2 linked regions of the Caenorhabditis elegans genome follow. The protein of the gene in region 2 purifies or fractionates together with the protein of the main gene of each other region. This does not show direct contact. Each region holds a gene or a part of one and is shown on either strand. Other genes may lie near its edges.

What was found. Proteins that work in one complex are often made in the same cells at the same time.
Region 1: the proteins of T23G11.7 (region 2) and F08F8.6 fractionate together in Caenorhabditis elegans (co-fractionation; one large-scale study listed by BioGRID). This does not show direct contact.

Annotation. Positions count from the first base shown.
Region 1 is NC_003281.10:7,342,056-7,347,950, reverse strand, and holds F08F8.6 (uncharacterized protein), read right to left. Parts: upstream 4,263-5,895; 5' UTR 4,181-4,262; coding exon 4,142-4,180; intron 3,754-4,141; coding exon 3,553-3,753; intron 3,225-3,552; coding exon 3,125-3,224; intron 3,080-3,124; coding exon 2,987-3,079; intron 2,731-2,986; coding exon 2,681-2,730; intron 2,633-2,680; coding exon 2,570-2,632; intron 2,489-2,569; coding exon 2,222-2,488; intron 2,172-2,221; coding exon 2,127-2,171; 3' UTR 2,096-2,126; downstream 1-2,095. Other genes in the region: gos-28 (Golgi SNAP receptor complex member 1), read left to right, coding at 226-350; F08F8.7 (Ribulose-phosphate 3-epimerase), read left to right, coding at 809-906, 1,306-1,605, 1,658-1,745, 1,795-1,992; kap-1 (Kinesin-associated protein), read right to left, coding at 4,378-4,482, 4,813-5,013, 5,061-5,128, 5,515-5,717, 5,764-5,888.
Region 2 is NC_003279.8:7,676,300-7,683,163, reverse strand, and holds T23G11.7 (HAUS6_N domain-containing protein), read right to left. Parts: upstream 3,717-6,864; 5' UTR 3,709-3,716; coding exon 3,612-3,708; intron 3,431-3,611; coding exon 2,442-3,430; 3' UTR 2,331-2,441; downstream 1-2,330. Other genes in the region: golg-5 (Golgin-84), read right to left, coding at 4,371-4,631, 4,684-5,038, 5,207-5,364, 5,409-5,628, 5,683-5,914, 5,962-6,119, 6,165-6,364, 6,411-6,482.

The DNA of each region.
Region 1 (5,895 bases), on a different chromosome or scaffold from region 2:
ATAAACTTGAGTTCAAATTTCTTGCAATACAGTTTTTTGACAAAAAATCTTTAAAAAAAAACAACAAAAAATTTATTTGAAATTTGGACCGAAAAACAAAAGTTAGAATTTCTCCAAAAAGCCGAAAAAATTTCAAAAAAAAATTCCTCCTTTCAACTGAGACTCAACATTTTTGAAAAACAGTTTTACAAGCTGCATAATAATTATCAAAACAACTTTTTTTAGAAAAATATCCTGCAATTAACAATTTGATGCAAAAAATCAAAACGAAAAAGCAGAAGAACACACTGATCCTTGCTGCCGTCATCTCATCGTGCCTTATTTTTACAATTTTCTGGATTATCAATTAATCAGTTTCAAATATCAAAAAAAAACTCAAAAACTTTTTCGAACTCCGATTTTCGTATTTTTCGAAGAAATTTAACAATCGGCAGTCGTAACTTTTTATCAAGTTTTCGAGTTGTTATTACTTTGTGTCAATGAAAAATAGAAACTGAATGATAAGAATAATCGATTTTTGTACTATTCCCTTGTCCCTTCATACAACGCACACCACTTTCATTGTGATATTCCTCACCGTTTTTCTAATTTTTACTTGTAAATAATTTTCTCGTTTTGTAATCTTTCGAGTATAATGGAGTTCTTGGCTTTTTCGTTTTTTTCTCGATGTGAAACAATTGGGTATACATATTTATGAATTAAAGTATTATTTAAAGATTTTTTTGAAAGTTTACAGTTGAAAGTTTAATTCTATAACTTTATTTGTTCATTGATTCTGGATGATAAAATTTATTTATCTAGAATTCAGATGACCCTCCGTCCATTTGTGTGTCCATCAATTCTGAATGCCGATCTTGCATCATTGGCTTCTGAATGCAAGAAACTTTTAGCAGCTGGAGCAGATTGGTAAGGTGATCTTTAGAAATTCTGAATAGTTTTGACAACTACTTTCATATTTAAATGTCCCTTTAGATTTCAAAAATCTAAATGGGAACGCACAAAAACCTCTTCTGAAATCAACATGGAAACGTACTCCACGGCCAATTGGAAACGCTCCGACCCCCCGAGATTACGGTCTCGTTAGGTATTTGGCCACAAAATCGCAAATTGAAATTGTTTTCATCTTCAAACACAAATTGGCAGGACTAATTGAAAACGCTTAAACTATCAATGTCAATACCTAATGAGACCCATGGTTCGAGGGGCGGAGCGTTTTCATTTAGCAGTAAGTAAGTAACGTTTCCACTTGGATTTTCAAAGGATTTACTTTCTGCGTTCCCATAGTATCCAGCTCCCAACTTGCAGGCTTCACCTCGACGTGATGGACGGTCACTTTGTACCAAACCTCACATTCGGTCACCCTGTCGTTGAATCTCTTCGTAAATCTCTTGGTGCTGAACCATTCTTCGATGTTCATTTGATGGTCTCTAATCCTGGACAGTGGGTTGAACCGATGGCAAAAGCTGGTGCCAGCCAGTTCACATTCCATTATGAGGCTGTAGATGGTGATGTGGCAGTCAGTGAATTGATCGAAAAAATCAGAAAAAGTGGAATGAAAGTGGGATTATCGGTCAAACCGGGAACTTCTGTTGAGCATATTTTGAAGTAAAATCAAAATTATATTTCAATCTAGATTTTAAATTAAAAAACTTTTTAGACATGCTAATCATTTGGATAATGCTCTTATCATGACTGTGGAACCAGGATTTGGAGGACAAAAGTTCATGGAAAACATGATGGAAAAGGTATTTATTTTGGTTTTTATTTGATACGAATAAAATTTATGGCTTTCAGGTTCGCACAATCCGTTCAAAATATCCAAATCTGACTATTCAAGTTGACGGAGGAGTAACACCTGAAAATATTGAAATCTCTGCTCAAGCTGGAGCCAATGCGATCGTGAGTGGAACTGGAATCATCAAAGCTGCAGATCAATCTGTCGCCATGACAACAATCAGAAATGCAGTTGAAGCTGCTATTTCGAAGTGCTGATTTTCTTAATTACTTGAATATTGTTTTGAATTTTGAAGCTCATTTTTTCAGAGCTTTTTGAGGTTGTGATGTTAATAGTTAGTAAATGATTGTCAATTAAAAAATTCAAAGCAGCATTTATTTATCTATAAAGTTCAGATGGGCTCTGCAGTTCCTAGCTTCGGGGTCGGAGCAGGTGTCTGAAAAAAGAGCATTACAAAACATCATGGACCATTCTTCAGTTGCTTACATTTTTAACACTTTCCTTCTCCTTGCTCGGAGTCTTCTTATCCTGATTTGATGGCAATACTCCAGTACTTCCAATTGTATCTTTACTCGGAGTCTTTCGTGGTTCGATATTTCCTGCCTCTTGGCTCATTGCAGTATTCAACGACGGCTCCTTGCTTCTTCCTCCAGCATTTGCAGTCTTTGTAGATTGCTTCGGAGTCAACATGATCTCACGAGACGGCTGCTTACGATTCGGAATTGGAGGAGGAGAACGTGGCAATGTCTTTTTCTGAAAAATTGGTTGTACTTTTGCTCAAGATCTTGGAGTACTACAAAAGCTAAAAAATATTTCGAAAAATAAAAAACGAACCAGATCAGTCTCACTCTCCTTTGGTGTCTTCTGTAAGCTGAGCATGGCCGATTTTGGAGCAGGCTGAAAATTGATTGAAATGAATGAAAACACTCGAGTGAACATACAAACCTCTTCAATAGTTCCAAGTGTCATAGTCTTCGATTTACGAGTATCTTCATCTGAAAATTGATTTCGATTATTTGCAAGAAATAGACAGACACTTCACCAGTCCCTTTCCTTCTGCCTACCTAATACTTACTTCACACCTGCCTGCGTACGTGTCCACCTCATCCCTACATCTTACGGCTTTGCCGACTTGCACAACCCCCCTCAATACCTACTCCCTGTCTATCTGACCACCAGGGCAACCAAGTTGCTGGTTGCCGAAAATTGGAGCGTATGGCAACTAAACAATAACCGAGTTCTGATTCTTACCTCCCATCGTGTCATAAACACGTTCAATATCAGATGGTGGAAATGTGACATCTTCTGGATATCGATTATCTTTTTTTCCTGGTTTTGTTTCCTCTGAAATAATGAATTTTGGAGAGACAGATACAGAGAAAGACATACGTTTTTGTCCATTTGTCGAGTAGTTCACATTGACAGAACCCAAATGATTAGGATGACAGATTTGTTTGCAGATTTCGATTGGAAGGAGAATTTGCAACGCCTGAAACTAGTAAAATTAAATAACTTTTTATGAAAACTTTTCTATCATAATTTGGGGCATTGACCAAAACCAATTTTTTCTAAAAATAACCTTATCGAATGTTTATTTTTGTATCGGAACATTATAGAAGTTCGAAACTACAGTTTATTCGTTAGTTTTTCATCATTTGACTTGAGAGTCGTGATAGTACTTCAGAGACTCTTCGGATATCTACAGTAACCTACAAGTGTATTGTATGTGTGAATATAATGTTTTGTAGAAGTATCCAAAAGAGAGGTGTTCAATTCACAACTATCGAAAAGGGCAATTTCTGAAGAGTTGAACTTGCCTCGTCAATCAAATCGATGATTGCATTATCCAAATCCTGTATCGTACTCCATAGTTGAAATGCGTTGAAAACCGAGTAAATGGTACTCAACAACGCGATGAAGCAAAGTGCAGAAGCTACAATCCATAATCCAAGTGCCAGTTTATTATAATGAAAATATTCACACTGGTGTTGCTTGAGTAAGTTATCGATCGTTGTTGTCTGAAAATCCGATTAACATGAGAACTGCTAATGAGGTTCCCAGCCACGATGCAACTAGATTCCACTTCAAATTAAACGTGTCAAGTATTAAGAAACCATCGGTGCATGAGAATGTCTACTTTCTGGCGCGAAAATGGCGGCAGGAGAGATTCTTCGGATATCTAGAGTAATCTAATTGTAAGAACATGCGGCGATGAGAATTTAGGTACCTTCGCTACGAGATATTCCCGCGCCAAAACGGTAGGCATTCTCATGATCTCATGGTCTCTTAATAATTTCTCTTATTTTCTTCTGTGGCATTTTTGAGTCCTAGACTCTTTCAAGTACTATATGTGTCCCCATTCACTCCACCTTTAAGATTCACAAGATTGAAAGTTTCACAACTTACCGAAATTATTGCAGTTGTAACATTTGAAGAATTGTTCATTTTTGAATAAAATGAAGCAGTCACTTCGAGGAATGAAACACTAAATGTGAAACACTACATGGCCAGAGAAAATTTGACCTTTCAAAAGATAAATATTTATACGTGAATTTTGTTTTAATTTTTTGCATATAAATCAAAACATTCATTTATTAAGTAAAAATATATAATTTGTAGGTTAAAAAAACAACAAACAAAAGTTAAAAAAGGGGCTCATTCATATCAAATCCATCATCATAGTGATCAAATTTGAGATCAGCTCCAAAATCTTCATCATCGTAATCTACGAATTCGCTGTCGTCTCGCTGGAAAAACGATTTTTAACCGGTGACTTTAGAGCCTATATTAATGTAATGTAACTCAAGCTGCATTACTGCTATCCTGTTTCTACCGTAACACTCACCGTAAACTACTAAATAGATTCATTTAAAGTAATGATGTTTTTGATACATATTTTTAACGGGATAGTCAGAGTGTCTTCGTTTTTGAAAGTATTTTTATACAGAAATAAAACTAGGAAATGCTAGTGACGTTAAATTTCCAAAACCTTGTATAGTATATTTGTATAGTGACCAGTATCATAATATTATTTGTACCAATCAACGAATAAATTGTTAAAATAACTACGATCATACCTCAACCATCTCCAACCATTGTGCATTGTGCCATTTGAATCTCTCTCCAGCTATCCGTTTTGCCCATTCTTTTGAATGTTCACCCATTATCAAAAGGGCATTATCGCAAACTTCTCGAACCACTGCGTTTGCATCGTGCATCAAATCGATCATATGGGCTCCGAGAGCTGAATCTTGAGTCATCAGGCGAGCAGATAGTTCCTTTGAAAAATTTATATGAGAGTTGAAAAAACTCTAAAACGTTATACCTTGTGCTTTAAAAATTGCAAGAAAACGTAGAGAAGTTGCACAACAAACTCATCATCAATTTGGCATGCTGAAAAAAAGATTGCGATATTTTTCAGTAATTTATTTGTATTCTCGATACACCCAAAAAAGATCAAAATGACACCAGTAAAACACTTCAAAAACGTTAGATTTTAAAAAAGATTTAGCTGAAGATTTGTTAATTTGCCAATTACTTCCAAAAATATGTACTTTTTGAGTAATTTTGAACATTTTTACATGTTCGATTTCCTAGAATGTTCAAATACAATTGAAACACAACTAGTTTCAATAATTTCCATTTTGTAATTTACCAACTGGCAAAGCTCCACCTTTAAATCTGATTGTGAGGAAAAATGAACTTTTATGTTTTCAAAAGTTACTGGGGTTTTATTATGAAACAAACTCTTAAAAAATAACTTAAATTTATGAACGTACATTGTAATAACTGCACAAATGTATCAATCAAAGGAGCCAATAACCTAGCTGCATCCAATTGCCTAGCCATTGTTCCACAAGCAATTACAATTTGTAGTTGGAGAGGTTTTATGTCTCGAAGTACTGTCACTTCTTCGGATTCATCAATTCCTTCTTGAAGTTGAGTTTTCATCCAAGGAACAAGATTTTCAGATTGAATTATTCTATAATTTAAGTTTTTGATTGGAATTCCGAACTCAAAAAGCTCACTTTGCCCACGGAGCAACTTTGAGCTCAGCAACTGTACCCATGCATTCTAAACCAAATGAAGATTTTGACTCTGAGTTGTCTGCTCCTTCATTTTTTGCAATCCCGATAAGAGTTTCAATCCACTTCTGAAAA
Region 2 (6,864 bases):
AAAAAACTGATACTCTTGATTCGAATTCATTCTGAAAGTGTATTTTTAAAACAAAAGTTAGATAACGGAACAGAGGATACAAACCACTCAATTAGTATTTAAAGAAAAACGAAATCAAAAAATTTAGTTCAGAACAGTACATTTATTGAACAGAATATATAAATAAAAGATATTTAGCGCAATAAGAGACGAGAGGGAGAGATGATGGTGGTGGTGAAGTAGTGACTAACCCACCATCAATTGTTTAAATAAGACATACAAATTTGGCTTTTGGAGAAAAAGGAGAAAAGGGGCACGTAAATGGAAGTAAACTGAAGTGGTGTTTGATGGAATTGGAGACAAAGCTTCATGGGAACTTGAAAATAATGACCAAAATGTATCAATATTTCTGGAGAATAGTGAGAGCTTTAATCAGATTGTCACGAATCGCTTTAACATCCTCGTAATCGACGGCGCTCATCGCATATTTTGTAAGCTTTCGAACCTCTGCGAACTCCTCATCTGTTGGCACTGAGCCAGGTGGGGCAACAGGCTGTGGTGTTGAGAAATCTTCGTATTGTTGTGGCTGATTACGTGGTGGTGGAGCCGAAAATGGAGTATGAGATGGAAGATTTGGAGTTGAAGAATACGATGGAGGTGGAATATTGTTGCGAGCAGGTGGTTGTGGTGGAAGAGAGTGATCTTTAAAAGTTCAGAATTCAATTATTTTTGAAAAGAAAATTAAATTTTTGATCTTCCGAACATCTATTAATTTTTGCTTCGAATAATTCAGAATCAAAATTTTTCGTTGAAAAAAGCAAAGAAATATATGCAGTTTCTGAAATCCTAAAAAAGGATGTCGTCGAAAATTTTTCACTTTTTTCATTTTTGGTTTTTAGATTTCAAAAAAAAAGAAAATCCGACACCCTTTATCTTCACTTTTTTGAAACGAGTTATTCAATTTTAAGCTGTGTATTTTTTTTTCTGTTTCAAATATTTTCTAACCTGATGGGACATTCGGAATTCCACCTCCAAATCCAAATCCAGGAGCCGGTGGTTGATTATAACTGTGCTCCTGTGGCCCTGATGAAGATGGAGCATTTGGTTGGAATTGTGCTCCAAACTGTGACAAATCTAAAAGTTCAAAATGCTTTTCTTGAAAATTCTATGAAGAATCTCGAAGCCTACCATCGTCCGCATCTTCTGTCTCTTGACTACTTGGTACATAAGGTGTTCCATCTCTCAAACATGTGAAAATCTGTGTGCTCTTCCATTTAGCATATTTCTTTGATGAAAGGAATGGCTCATCAATCTGCAAAAAAACTTTGTTTCAATATATTTCTACCAGAACTATTGTTTTTTTATTTTTTCGAACCAAAAAACCAAAAACAAAACCGACTTCTTAAAATTTTTAATTTAGTTGGGTAAAATAAGAAATGTATTATTTTTGTTTTTTGGTATAAATTAATTAGTATAAATACTCAGATCTACTTACCTCTCCAAACAGAGAAAGAATATCCATGACATGTCCTGCAGTGTAGAATGCGTGGACTACGGATTTATCGACCTGAAATAGTTCAATTCTGATTCTGATTTTGCCGGTTTTTCTGAATAGCTGAATAACAAAATTTTTTAGTTTTTTAAAATTTGGCTCAGAAACTGATAAATCGAAAAAAAAGCTTTAATGTTTTCCATCCTGGAAAAATGGGAAATTTCTGTTGTTGGAAAACCGGAATATAAATACTAAATTTTTTTTGAAAGAGAACGATTTTTAAAGGTTTTCAGAAGCATTTTCTGAAAAAAAAATTCGGTTTTGCTCTAAAAAAACGGAAAAATGGAAAAATTTTTCGCCGACACCCTGATCGAAAATCTTTGATTTTTGAGGGGAACATTTTCATTATATTTTAGCCATTTCTCATGTTTTTGAAAAAAATTATTTTTTTCGTTTACTTATTAAAATTAGCATTTTTGAAAACATCAAAATTCGATTTCTACTGAATCGAAATATTTCTGATTCAGAAAACAAATTTAAATCAACTAACATTTCCTGTTTTCTCTTTCTTGTCGGCAAAGTTGAAGAGCTTTTCAGCAAAACTTTCAATGTGTGCTTGAGCAATTGTCTGAAAAAATTTTTTATACAGTCATTTGAAAATTAAAATCTCACCTCATTTTTAATAGCATCATTGTCAGCCAATTGAGTTTTAATCGCTTCAAGAGTTGTGAGAAGTCCAGTCAGATATTGACGTGCTTCGACAGTTGATTTATCAAGCTTCATGGCAGTTTGAACAGCATAGAAGAGACCTGTAGAGGATTAAATGTTTAGAAAATGAATAAATTCAGATTAGGAAATTATACAATGTTTTTTATTTGCAAAAGCATACGGACACTGGGAATGTAAAAAAGGATTGATGGAATAAATCAGACTTCCGGGGATCACTTCACAGAGGAAATAACTGAATAACCTAACTATGGTAGGAAATGTTTGGAATTTGATAATCAATCAATAAGTTTGCGGGACTAAAGATACTATTAATGGGTCTCTCGAAAACAGTTTCCTTGCGAATAACTAATCGAATCCATTCTTCAAGTGTTCCGAGAATTCTGTCAGTCGCCATTGTCGGAATTCCACAACTTTCACGAAGATGACTGATATTTTTACTCAACCAGGACATTCCCTCAATCAGTTTCTCACGATCTGCCTTCTTCTTCCAACATTTCTCCGTGAATATTGAACTTTTCTGATCAATTGGGTTGATGATTTGAAGATTTGTCAGAATGGGATATTTTGGAGCAAAGTGTAGAACTTTACAAATCACATTGAAGAGATGAGTCAGATTTTGAAGTGCGGTTAGAGTTGGAGCCTCCGAGTGATTGAAAATGTGAGTGATTTGAGGAATATGAAGTCCACGGATCGTATCGATTAGCTGACATTGACAGTTTTTAGTAGTAATTGCTTCAGATGCTGGCCCTCCATCGATCTTCACTTTGAACAGGTCCATGACTTCTTTGATCAATGTGAGCTTTCTATATGCAACTAATCTGATCAATACATTGATTGATTTCACTTCTTTATCCTTTTTGGACTGATTTTTATTTATTTGTAGCTCCATAATTTCAATTTTCTGCTTCAAACTCTCCTCAAAATTTTGCTTTTTGGAAAGTTCTTCGTTCACTTCTGAAAGCTTTCCTTTTCCAATAAGTATCTTCTGATTAATCTTTGCAATTTTTTCTCTCAGCTTTTCACACGAAACATTTTTCTGTTCAATTTCCATTGATATATTTTGTGCTCTTTGACAATTATTCACAACTCCACCAGGTTCATCAATATATTCTCGGAGTGAATCTCTATCATTGATATGATCTTTTTCCAGGCGAATCGATGTTTGAAGTAGTTTCCACGATATTTCATCGAATGTTGTCTCCACAGGACCAAGTGCCATACAGAGCAGGGCTGTGCGATGATAAAGTTCACAATTTTTAAAGATTTTCGTTACTTGGTATTTAATAAAATTTCCGCACAACCCTGTTAGTATTTACAAATAGTTAGATAAAAGCTCAAACAAAAAAGCGGGGAAAATGAGATATTCGGTTCAAATGAATAGTTTGGTCAAAATATTTGAAAAATAACTTACACCAGTAATAAATGACCGGATCGCGGCTTGCATTCTCGTTAGCAATCTTTATGTAGTGAGCAATTGGTTTGAATGCTGGTGGGAGATTCGCAGACATTTCTGAAATGTCGAAAAATTAATTAAAAATAAACAAATTTCGTATAAACTTCTAAAGTACGATTAAATAAATATTAAAACTCTTTCCCGACAATAATTATTCTAAAATTTCGCAAGAAAAGGAAAAATGAATGAAATCATTGCTACTTTTATCGCAAGAAAACGAACTGAAGAGTTGTAGAAAACAGAAATCGAAGTATGACTCAAACAGTTTCCCCTATCACTCTGCGTCTCTTCATCCTCATCATTGGCGACATTCGTCACTGCTATTTGTTTTGAAATCAAATAAATGGAAAATGGAGGATGAAATTGACAAGAATGACAGCAAAATCGATAATCTCAGATGTATTGAAGGCGGAAATTTATATGAAAACCGCAAAATTTTATAGACAAACAGGGAAAATCCTACATTAGCTGATGTTTATTTTTATTCACATAGTTCGGATCTAGACCAGTCATTATTGTATTTTGAAGAGAATGAATTATTTTAGGACAAAAAAAAAGCGAAAATGGGGTACGGGAAAAGTAACAGCGGGTATCACACTGGAAAATAATCGAAAAAAGAAAAGAAACACTAAACCAAGTAAAAACTAACCATGCAGTATATGTTAATCCCAATATATTATACAAACATACATAATAAGGAACACAACCGTGATTAAATCAATGAATCTCTGGGGTATACGTGAGAACAATGAAGAAAAGCCATAAATGCATTATGATAAAGTACAAAACAAAAAAGAGGCGGGCTGATGGATGTCCGCGGAGCATTGATAACAATTTGAATGCCGTCGAATCTACAGTGTGAAGAGCATTTCGAGTTTGTGGATTATTGATATTTGATAGAAGTGGATGAGATGATGACGTGTGCATTGGAGATGAATTCGAGTCCACAGCAATCGATGTTTCACGATTTGTAGCTTTCTAAAAACAGAATATTACAACTTTTGATATTCATAAATTGATAGTTTCTCACCTGAAGTCTTTCCAATCTCACATTCAACACTTGATTATTTCTTAAAACATCTTCCAATTGTTGTTGCTTCTGCAGTAAAAGATCAGTTAGTTGTGATGATCCATCATCTTCCTGCTTCGTTTGTTCATCTCGCATTCGTGAACGCAAGTCGCTAATCGTCTTTCTCAACTCATTTTCCTTCTCGAGCATTTTAGATTGATGCTGATCACCTTGTCTTTTCATTTCTTGTTTTGTGAACTCATTTTCAATTCTTGAACATTCCACTTTCTCGTTTAGAAGACCAATTGTGCTATCCCATGTCTGCTTCTCCTCGAGATGAGTTCGTTTTTGGTCCGACAATTGAGATTGGAGATCTCTTAAAAGTGGAAATTGGAACAGTACTAAGAATTTCTCAAAAAAGCCTCTTTTTTTTGAATTAAAAAATTAAAAAGCTATTAATTAAAAGCTCGACCATCGAGTATGGGAGAGAATTTGAATTTTCGTCATAAATCCGAAATGTGAAAAATTTAAGGAAAAACCTTACCTTATCTGAGCTTCCAATTCTTCCATATCAGATCTCAAGGTATAAACTTGAAGTTGTGCAGATTCTAAATCGGCTTTTGTAAGGTCTCTTTCAACTCTGATCTCTTCAACTTCAGCTTGAAGAAGATGAACAGGACGATCACTGGATCCGATTCCTTGCTGAATTGAATTTTAATATCAATCCTCGGTCAAATCTCTCAAACCTCTGACTTCAGCGACTCCACCAGTTTCTCTTTAGCTGTCAAAATTTTCTGCGCCTTGTTCTTGTACTCATCAAATTCTTTTTTGTTCTCATTCAGATTGAACTTTGCCAGCCTCAACTGTTCGACCATCGCACGAATTTCTTCTTCCAAACCAACTATTTTTCTCTTATGCATGTTACACTCCTCCACTGCTTTCTCTTTTTGATCTTGTGCTTTTTGTCTAGAAAACTTGAATTAAATGCAAAACAACACGTCAAGATGTTAATATAATTACCTGGCTAATTTCAATTCTTGAAGACTATCCATTTCATGACTTGATACTTTTTGGTTTTCAACTCTCTTCTCTAACATTTCCTTTTCAGCTTTCATCTCGTAATAATCTTGACTACGTTTTTCAAATTTTCTTTCCACTTCAGAAAGTTTCGTTTTTAATACTGATATTTGAGAATCCTTTGCAAATAATTGAGATTTAAAATTGGGACTCGAATCGTTTCCCGCAAATTCTGCTGAAAAATCAAAATTCAAAAGTTTCGTAAGAATCGTCAAAACATACAGGTAGTTCGAATACTAGCAACACTACGGCCTCCAACACTCCTCTGACTTCGTGTATCTTCATCTGGTTTTGCATTTTTTACTTCTTTCGAGTTTAAAACCATCGTCCAACTTTCAGATGCTGCTGTTACTCCTGGCTGATGAGTCGATGAACTACCCCTGAAATTTTAAATGACACATGTGAAGAAAATCAGAATAACGAACTGTTCATAATTTCTTCCTCCTCTCCATCCGGCTCCGGTATAATCACTCTGAGCTCTCGAGGGAAGAGATGGAGCCGGTCTGCCGAAATCTTCAGTGATAACATGTTCTGGCATCGAAATAATCGTTGCTGAGACGCTGGCGGTACTTGATTTACGTGTTCGAGGAGCGGAATCTCTGGCATTTTGAATTGCGTCTCCAGTCTGTAACATTTATTCTGTACATAGAAACATTAGTTTCAAGATTTGCCTTTTCATCAAGTTTATTCAAAAGATTTTCGGCCGCTCCGGCAATATCGGACACTTTAGACAACCATGACATTCGTGTTTAATTCTCTGTAAAAACAAGTTATTCATTTTACGTGGGTTTGAATAATCGTTTAAATAAAAGTTTCCAATGTATGACAAACGAAAGATATGCGTTTCAAAACATGTATTTCAGAAAATCGATTACGAAGCATAAAAACAAGAACAAGCTTTGAAAGAACGTGGATTCGTCAAGTTCGGTCATGAGAAACCTAGACCCCAATTTCTAGGCCACCGAACAATGATAGAATTTTTCCTGATTTTATAGATTTACCTCAATAATTTTAATACATTTTCAATTTTAATATATTAATAAACATATTAAGAAAATATTCAAGAAAATATTTGGGATTCATCATCAATTTAGGAACACCTGGAAAAAGTCAAAGTTTCATGTT